Linked DNA regions of Drosophila melanogaster. The protein of the gene in region 1 interacts with the protein of each later gene in a pairwise test. Each region holds a gene or a part of one and is shown in the gene's direction. Other genes may lie near its edges. The genes, in order: CG31522 and Zip88E.

Evidence for each region.
Region 2: the proteins of CG31522 (region 1) and Zip88E interact in a two-hybrid assay, tested with the Drosophila melanogaster proteins (one large-scale study listed by BioGRID).

What each region holds. Positions count from the first base shown.
Region 1 is NT_033777.3:4,459,684-4,464,758, reverse strand, and holds the start of CG31522 (uncharacterized protein), read left to right. Parts: upstream 1-1,875; 5' UTR 1,876-2,132; exon of another isoform or gene 2,133-2,139; intron 2,140-5,075.
Region 2 is NT_033777.3:15,266,789-15,271,248, forward strand, and holds Zip88E (Zinc/iron regulated transporter-related protein 88E), read left to right. Parts: upstream 1-1,873; 5' UTR 1,874-1,974; coding exon 1,975-2,223; intron 2,224-2,292; coding exon 2,293-2,552; intron 2,553-2,615; coding exon 2,616-2,817; intron 2,818-2,948; coding exon 2,949-3,327; intron 3,328-3,396; coding exon 3,397-3,407; 3' UTR 3,408-3,744; downstream 3,745-4,460. Other genes in the region: CG14864 (uncharacterized protein), read right to left, coding at 1-1,584; Cp190 (centrosomal protein 190kD), read right to left, coding at 4,255-4,460.

The sequences.
Region 1 (5,075 bases):
GAACTACGTCGTTGCTAAGTTTTAACTTTAATTTAAGAACTCCTTGCGACGTTTATAACTTAAACCGCAACGAGAAAGGAAGTTAGCCTTGCACCTGTAGCTTATTTGCGTCTGCAGTACTATGACGTCATTTTCAGAATTAAAGGGTATATATGTAGATTCGTTGAAAAGAAAGAAATTTAAAGCGGTTATGGTAGTCCGATCTTAGCGTAAAAGATCAAGCGATTACATACCAAGACTTTGAGAAAAGTAAAAAAAAATTTGGCTGAGCCCCACTACCAAACATATGTTAAAATTAAATTGGAACCTTTTGGGCGTCTTGTTCGTCCCTTAAAAAGCATTTTTTGAAATACTTTACCTAAGCCCATAATTTGTGCTACATGTCATTAAAAACGCGTTTGCAAATGATTATTTGCTTTTCACAATTGTTTTGTCTCAAACAACAGATTAAAATGTAATACCCATTACCCGTAGAGTCAAAGGGTAGACTATAGGTAGGCAGTTTATGTTCTTTTCTGACTCGATAAAGAACATATTACTTCATCAGGACCAATAGACCGTATAAACGTCAAGATCTCTCTTGTTTTTTTTTTTACGATGATCGTTGAACGCTCGGCTGTGCAAAAGTGCAGAAACGTACCAAACAATCGAAAAAATCAAATAACAATACAGATTGCCACTGACTTAATGTACAAATGGGCCAGTACTTAATAGACGCGTACTAATTTTTGGCAAACAAATCCGCTAACAGGCGGCGACAGCTGGGCTGTACAGGCTAATATTTAAGCCCCTCTTGACCTTGTCGGCTCTCGACTCTTGCCGCATCAGCCGGACAGGGCGCGATGTTAGCCAAGTTGACATAACTTAATGCATCATAATGCACCGGCGTATTTGGAGCTGGAGCTGCGACGGAGACTATCGGCACTTCAGGCTAGTGTTAGCGTTAGATAATAATAACTATTTCCCAGCTCACTTTGGCACGCGCCCTTTGATGCGTTGTGACCAAACACTGAACCCTGACCAATTATCAATTGTATTATTACTACCAAGTATCCGAATTTCGTTTACAAGGAATGAACTTTGGAGAATTAAAAAAACTGTTGGAAAAAAACTATTAATTCAGGCAAAAGCTGCGAGTAACGACCGCTATAAAAATAAAACCCCTATTTTCTTAAATACTATCGATTTGGAACATATAATTGTAGGATAATTAGACAATAAATCTTAAGTCACCCCATATTTTGCGAAAACTCTTTCATCATGTTCCAAGCAATTCTTAATTGTTGGTCATACGGTTGGCCCAAAGTTTCGAATAAGGCCGTATATCTGTGCGTATCCATGATTATAAGCCAGATCACCTACACGGGCAGGAATCGTACGCCTCGTAATTAACATGGATGATTTAACGCTGTGAAAGGCCAGGTATCGGGGCTGTTCGGAAGTTCACTCCATGTAATATTTACTCGCTGGCAGTGTGCGATTGCTATTGCGACGGTAGCCACACTTGAACCTTGCCTGCGCCGCTGACATCAGACAAAAAAAAACAAGGTTCGGGTTCAGATTTGGGTCTTGGGTTCGGGATCTCCGGATCTGAATCGAGTCGCATCATTCCCGGTGTCCGGGAATAGCCAAGAGCCAATCAGGCCATTTGCCATCTTCGTGCACTGCACTTGACGCTCGGCGGCGGAAAGTTTTCGCACTGCACTCGGTCGGTGCTTGCCGCTGACCGTAACGTTTCCACCGCAGCCGCTGCGCTGCCAGTGGCGTTCTTCCCTGCGCTGGCGCTCGCGGTTGCGCCTGCGCCTCCGCTTCGTCGGCGTCGCGCGATCCGCGTTTAATTAGCCGCGCGGCGCGATCGCGGCTCAGTTTTCATTCAGAAGTCAAGCGCGCGCTAATCGCAGACGCAGTCACCGATCCCGTGTGCGAAAGCCGAAAGCCAAGAGCCAAAAGCTATTGCGAAAGTAATCATTTTACAAAGTTCTTTGGCAACACTTTGTGAAATAGTTCGGGCCGCGCAATTTGTGTGTTGTGGTTTTTGCAGTTTTTAGTTTTCAGATTTCGGTTGCCAGCGATTTACCAACCGAGCTGCTGCTGGCCGCCTTCCGTTGCGGATTTCGAGCTGTTTGCAAGTGGTAAGCTGTAAGTTGTTCGCACATGTGATTTTTGTTTTTCGCTCTTTTGCAACTGCGCGGCGCTTGGTCCGTTCACAATAAGCATTTTGGACGGCGCTCTCCACGCCAAAACACCTCCCCGCTCTGGCCAATCTGCCCGGCTATAAGGCGCAGATCGTCCGAGCTAATCGATTTGACTGGCCAATCGGGCTGTTCGATCCGGTGTTTCCAATGGTGTGGCAACCCTGCCATTTGGCGGTTGCACAAAATCAGCTTGCGTGGGGCATTTGATTCCCAGCGAGGATCCGATGCTGAGGACCTCTGGAGAATCCTCGACGTGTGGTCGCAGGCGGGATTCCGGCGGGATTTAGCCCTGGCCTGACTGGCAGCGCAGCGGCAGACCACGAACAGCTGGGCGGATTTGTATGCTGTTTGAGCAGCTGTTCTGGTTTCTGGACTGTTGACTCCCAATATACCGATAGGTTTTGTTTTGCTGACCCCTCGAGATAATGCATAAGAATTAGCCAGCATCGTAAAGCTTTTCACCGTTGACATTGGGTCCAAAGTAGCAGAAGCGCAATTAGTGCGCCCTTCGCGAATAATTGCCAGAGTTTTTCTTGCACTAAAAATATACAAAATGGTAATCCAAGGCAACTCGAAACAAGTGCGGAAACGATTCGCACAAAACCGGATCTGCAATGACCCGATTTTGGCCTTGGACTTGTCGCAGGGCATCCTGATCGTGGCAAAAAGTTTCCTTGAGTGTTTCCCAGTCAGGCGAGGTGGTCGAACGAAAACCGCTTCTGGGACCGACTTTCGAGGTCTTGTGACTTACTGATCGATAATGGGATAATGGTAGTGAATGGCTCCAGATCGACGATCGCTTCCGCGTTGGCTGTAATTGGACATCATAAATTGAACCGCCCAGAAGGGCTTGCTCATTGTTCTTACCCGGACTGGAGCCACTCAGGCGCTCCTCGGCGGATGCCACTAAGGTGGCAAATACTTTCAAACAGTAAGCTGGGATTTCGCTTTCCGTATTTACATATGCAAACCATTTGGGTTTTTTTCGCGCTCACCGTTCTTCAAATGCCACGCACGTAGCCGCGTTTCCAGCGAATTTACAGGCTACACGCCAATCCCCTGAGATCGCAGATCCGAGATCTGAGGCCCGACTCTCAAGAAGCCTCAAGAAGCCTCAGCCAAAACTTACCCAAACATTAAATCGCTCAACGCTCGCCGGCGTGGCCGCAGCTCTGGCTCACACCGCTTACTCTCTACTTATAAATAATTTAAACACAAAAGTTTGTTTGTCTAGAAGAGGATCTCGCTTCCACATCGAATAGCGCAATGGGGCGTGCTAACAACTGCGATTTGCGGAAGCCAAGTGTTAGGAAAAGAGCCGTAAACGTTTACATTTACGTGAAAGTATACCTTTATATGTATACTATTGTTTGCTATTATGTTTGCTATTGAATGCATTACAAACGGTTTAAATGTATTGATAAATACAAAATAGAAGGGCATACACTTTTGTCTGACTCCCATTATATATATATATATATGCATATGCATATATATGCATATATATACTTCTACCGACCATAAAAGCCACTAACCGATAGATAGGCCGCCGCTTGAATACCAAAATGTCTTGGGCAGTTTTCGAATATTTTAAACAATTACTACATTACAGTTAAGCGCCAATAACAATACCCGTACAATTCCTGGATTAAAGCAAGATTTCGTATCTTAATCTGGTAGCAATCCAGTTTGTACAATACGAACATTTTGTATATAAACTTTATAAAAAACACCTCCAAATATGTGGGATTAAAGTGACGATGACACTTCTCAAGTCCTAAAATGGCAATTAGTTAAACTTTTTTTTAACAAATTTTGCAGACAAACACATTTTGGAAAATGTCATTCAAATCTTGTTTTATAAATACAAGAATTATAACTAGAATTGCTCCCCCTTCTTCCTAGCTAATCATCATTCAACAAGAGATTTAAATCATCAAAAGATTATTCGATCACGATATACATAAATGGCTCTGATCAGACTCTCGGTTCTCATCGTCACTACGTAAACTGCCATCCACAGCGATGTTAGGGGACTTTACTTGGGATAAGCACACGTACCTACTTATAATGTCAATTGGAAGACAGCGTTTTGCAGTGACTAATGAAAACAATTAACAGAATTTCGTCCGCCTATGTCTGCGACGTGTACGGCATTAAAAATATTCCAGAAGCAACAACACTATCAGCCACATCTCCGCACTTTAGACAGAAGATACTCACAACTTGTTCATGACACTAAAACAAGTTGAGACATCACCTAGCTTGCACTTCGGTTTGCATTACCTTAGTTCTGCTTTGAGTTTCAACTTCCCCGATTTGATTCGACAAACTGGAGTAACTAGCGTAACTAGACTTACTCTACTCTAACTAGAGTTTACAACAGCAGTCTTTGAAACCCCGGGAAATTAGTTAAATAGCTTGTCAGTAAATTGACTTAATTAGTGAGCCGAAGCGCGAACAGCAAAACGAAAAGGAGCTGCAATATGCCCAATAAGACTAACATTTAGAAGAACACCACAAATTGATCGTTATAAGAAACTTCCGTTTCAGAAATATAAGTCCAATACCATGGTTAAGTATTCCTTATGGTTTTCGAGACTAGGGTACATTCCTTATAAATTCCTAATTAATTATTATACACAATACTTGTAGGGTAGACCTGAACTTGAAATGTATTTGATAGAAAGCATATCTTCGACGCTTTATTTTCTTTTTGTTTCCGGAATTCTATTATGTTTTGATAATTTCTAAGGTAGCCGAAGACAATTTAAAAATGTATCCTTCGCAATCCTCCGTATATATGTACATATGTATGTGTATTCGAACAAAGACTAGGCAGTCGAACTAGCCAAGTTCATCTGGACTTCCTTTAGCTGG
Region 2 (4,460 bases), about 11 Mb from region 1:
GTGCTGGATTGTCTGCTGCAGAAGGCTGTGCTGCTCCAGCAGATTCTCCAGCTCCTTGATGCGAGATCTCTGCAGTTCCAGAACCTTGGTGAAGTTACTCGTGGCCGGGGACTCAAGCCAGTTGATTAGAAAACTATTATGTTGCTCTTTATTATCGTTGGCGTTTTGTTGAGCATCAAAATTACTCTTCGTCTTGCTATCTAGTGTACTCGCATCCTGCCCTGGGTTGGGGCTGCAATCATTCAAAGGACTCTCCTCCAGGACCAGAACATTGGTCTCGTTCGAGGATCGACAAACTCTGTAATTGGGCTTGTCGATTTCCGGGAACACAGCTCGCTCATCATTTTCGGTCAGATCGGACTCTTGAACGCAAATCTCTGGAGGCGGCGCCATGGGACGTTGCTTCGCCGGAGAGCAGCACCCATCTTCATAGTCATTATTCCGGGTGCCGTTCATAAGCAGCACGTTGATTGCATTTGAAGTTCTTCTCTCGCCGCCGCCACAAGTAAAGTTATTCGAATTATTGGTGTATCCGCCAGATAAACCTGTCGCTGAGCTTCCAGTTTGATGGCTGAACGAGCCGGTCATCTTGGTTCGCCTAACAGGCGAAGAGCTCTGAGTCTGCAGCGTCACCGTTGAGCACTGCACTTCCTGATCCTTCAATTGCTGGGTGATGCACGTCTGGCAGCATTCGCTCTTCAGCTCCGGCTTTTTCTTCGTATTCTGCTGGTTCATCGAACTTTTAATTTTGTTGTTACCTCGTGAAGTTGGCGATACCGGGTAGTTCGGGCTACTGCGGAAATCATCTGCTACAGTTTTTATGTCCGTTGTCCTGAAAGCTGGACAAGTGAGACGTTCACAGGAACTCTGTTTTTTTGGGCTGCCTTTGGAATTATCCTTTCTTTCTTTATACTCTTTATTTATACTTTGTTGGCTGCCTGAATCCTCTTCTAGAGGGGCTACCGCTTTTTTGATCCCTTGCACTGGACAGAAACTACAGGTGCATCCATCACAGGTGCAGTTTACAGCTCCAAAGGTCGGTTTATTTACCCTTGGGCTTAATTTCATAGGTGGATTATTTTTGTTCTCTAAGTTTGTGGCCCTTGTTTGTGGATTGGGATACTTCTGTCCCATTTGGGTGTATGTATTGCCCTGGAACATGCTGTTGCAGGTGTTTCGAAAACGACAGCAACCATTCGTACATCTGTTCGCGCTGCTGAATTCCTGCCTCTCCGAGCCGAGACTCTGTTTGCTTTGGTTCTGGATCCGCTCGTTAGTCTTTTTGCTGATGGAATAGCCATGGCCAGCGTCCGATGCCGAAGAGCTCCACCTGCTCCATTCCTGCAGGCCAGCTTGAGTCCTTGCCCTGCCAGCAGCACGAGACGAGCTCTCCGATTCCGAACCTGATCCGTGGCCATCCAAATGGGAGGCGCAAACGCATCCGTGCCGGCATAGCGATTCGGGGTCGACGTCAAAACTGCTGAGGTTGGCCAAGTTCTGCCACCGGCGAGCCTCCGACATGTTGCGCGGGTAGACGCACTGCTCGCCCGGCTCCTGGCCACAGATTATACAACGACGATGCATTTTCCAACGGACAACCAGGACGGAAACGGTAAAATTTTGAATTTTAACTACAGGAGCATTTGTCGAAGTGCAAAACTATAATTGGAGAGGGTGCCTACCTTCTTTTATTGAAATTCTTAATGGTGGTGGTTGGTAAAAGAATAGTTCTAGATTTAAATGTTTAAATAAAATTAAAAAAAAAAAAAACCGTTTAAATGAGTGTGATCTGAAAGGCGCACTGCTGAAATGCCTTACTTTTCTGTGGCCCCCCCATTGTAAGGCGTTTTGGTATTTCGCACGAAAGCAGCTGCACACACTTCGCAACTGTTTAGTTTAAAAATAGTAAATGCAACGAACTTTTGTGTGTTTTACTGGCCCCCTTCTTGATGACACAGTCTGGCAGTTGATACAATGAGCTTGCCAACCGACGGTCTAAACATGGAGATCACCCCAAGCCCCACCCTGGCTGCCACGAGTCGCGGCGACTTGGAAAAAGTGCTGGCTATGCTGGTCCTCGGACTCGGGAGTCTTTTGTTCGGATTGCTGCCCGCCTTTATATCGGAACGGAATCGTCGCCGCTTCCCGCTGACCGCATCCCTGCTCCTGTGCTTCGGAGCGGGCATTCTGCTAGCCACCGCACTGGTGCACATTCTGCCCGAGGTAAGAGCTTGGACTGCGATCGTGTGTGTGGCTGCAATTTGATAACCTGCTGACTTACGCATGCAACAGGTGCGCGAACAAATGGACTCGAAATTCGCTGAGGTTGCCATGTGCGGCGGGTTCTTCATCATCTACTTTATCGACGAGTTCATACACTACTTCTTTGGCGAGGCCATTCAGCACACTCATGCCCACGATGCAGAGACTCCAGCAACCGAGCCACCAAGACGTCCCACTAATGACAATGGTTATGGCGCAGTGGACGAACGAGCGCCCCTTTTATCAGCGGAACCCAATACGTCACATGGGCATTCGCACCATCATAGCCAGTAGGTTTATTGCATTTCCCTTCCCGCAGCCAAAACTAATTGCTTTGTGCTTCGATTACGCAGCGATCATGACCACAATCACCCGGCCAGCGCATCTGGCTGTAATGATGCCAGTGTAGAGGACGCCAACGCCCGCATCTGCCACACCAGCCACACGGAACCCTGCGCCCAATCCATGACAGGCACTCTGGGTCTCTTTGTCGCCCTGTCACTGCACTCGGCCATCGAAGGACTCGCCATCGGCGTTCAGAACTCTTCCACAAAGGTCTGTGCCGCCTGCCTTGACATAGTTAGACTAGATCGGCTATAGTGCGCAATCTTAGGCAAATATTGAAGCAAAGAGATGCGAGGGCTTAGTCCAATTAGATAACCGGAATCTGCTTTGTCTCGTCGTAGGTTCTGTTTCTTCTAGGGGCCGTCGCCTGCCACAAGTTCGTGATGGGCTTTTGTCTGGGGCTCGAGTTCCGCTCGAATCCGCAGACGAGTTTTCGCGCCCAGTTCGTCGGCATTTCGGTGTTTGCCCTGGGCGCCGTCATTGGCATTGGCCTGGGCATGCTTATCGTGGACGTGCCCGCCGCTTGGTCCAGCAAAACTCTGCCTATCGTCCAAGCTCTGGCCGGAGGCACACTCTTCTACGTCACCGTCTGCGAGGTGATACCGCGCGAGAAGGCGCGCTGGCACTCGAACTCAACGCGACGCTGGGCGGGATTTGCACAGTTTGCAACTGTGCTCGCCGGCTTTGCGACCATGTGCATCATAAACTTTTATCTTTCTGGTGCGTAGCATTATGTGATTTGCATTTCCCTTTCGACATTGCTGACCTATTTTCTTCGCGCCTTTTCAGATGAGGATTAGACATCTTTTCGTTGAGAAATCGTTTCAGCGCTGTGAGAAAATGTGCCGCTTTTTAAACTTAGAACACTTAGGATAATATTATGGATTGGCAGCTGTTAATCTCTTGTGTAAGACTTGTTACTTGTGCATTTCCAACTAATCTTGTTTTAGGTACATTGTCGATCTGCCGTAGGATAAGTAAAAAGTTCAGTCTTCTCGTCTACATTTATATTTTCTCTTTCTCCAAAGTTTGTGTTATTTTTTATGCTTTTATTATATGTAATAAACCTTACAATTAAGTTGTTAATCAAAAAAAGGGCATCCTCTTTTCCTTTTGATTAATCTTACTTAGCCAACCATTAAACGCAATCATTTTATTACTTTCTGGGGACATCATGTCACTGTTTTAAACGAATTAAAACAACATCTATGTAACTACATCTCTATATGTATGTAAATAGGCATATGTGTATATATATATATAGTGTTTACCTAATCGTGAAATGTTGCTTGGTTGCTCTATTGGTGGTGTATGTGTGAAGAAACGGACACTCATAAATAGCTAAATGTTGGGTTGTTTGGTCTCTGATCTCTCATTTAAGGTCATTTGGGGAACTCCTCTTAGATTTACGATTTTCATGCTAGCAGGGCAACATACTTGGGATGGGAGGGGATTTACAATTACGTGAGATGAGTAGATTAGATCTTATACACTTAAACCAGTGCATATGCATATCTTATCATTCACCTTGATCTTCATTAACAATTTAATTTACAATAGAAACCGAAAATTCGCGCCGAGCTCAGGTGCGTTTATCTGCTGACCTGCGTTGAATCGCCAAACTTAGAACATAAATAAATCTAGTAATTATAGCTCCTCCTTCGCCGCCGCACTAACCCCATTCTCATCCTCGTCCTCATCGTCGTCACCCCATTCGCTAATGAGGCTCTTGACCTTGTCCACGCTGGCTGCTTCACCTGACGTTGCTTCATCACCTGCTTTTGCACTTTCTAGTGTCGGCTTTTCTGCAGTGGTTACATCCTGTGTCTGGTTTGGTTTGTCCTCGACGGCTT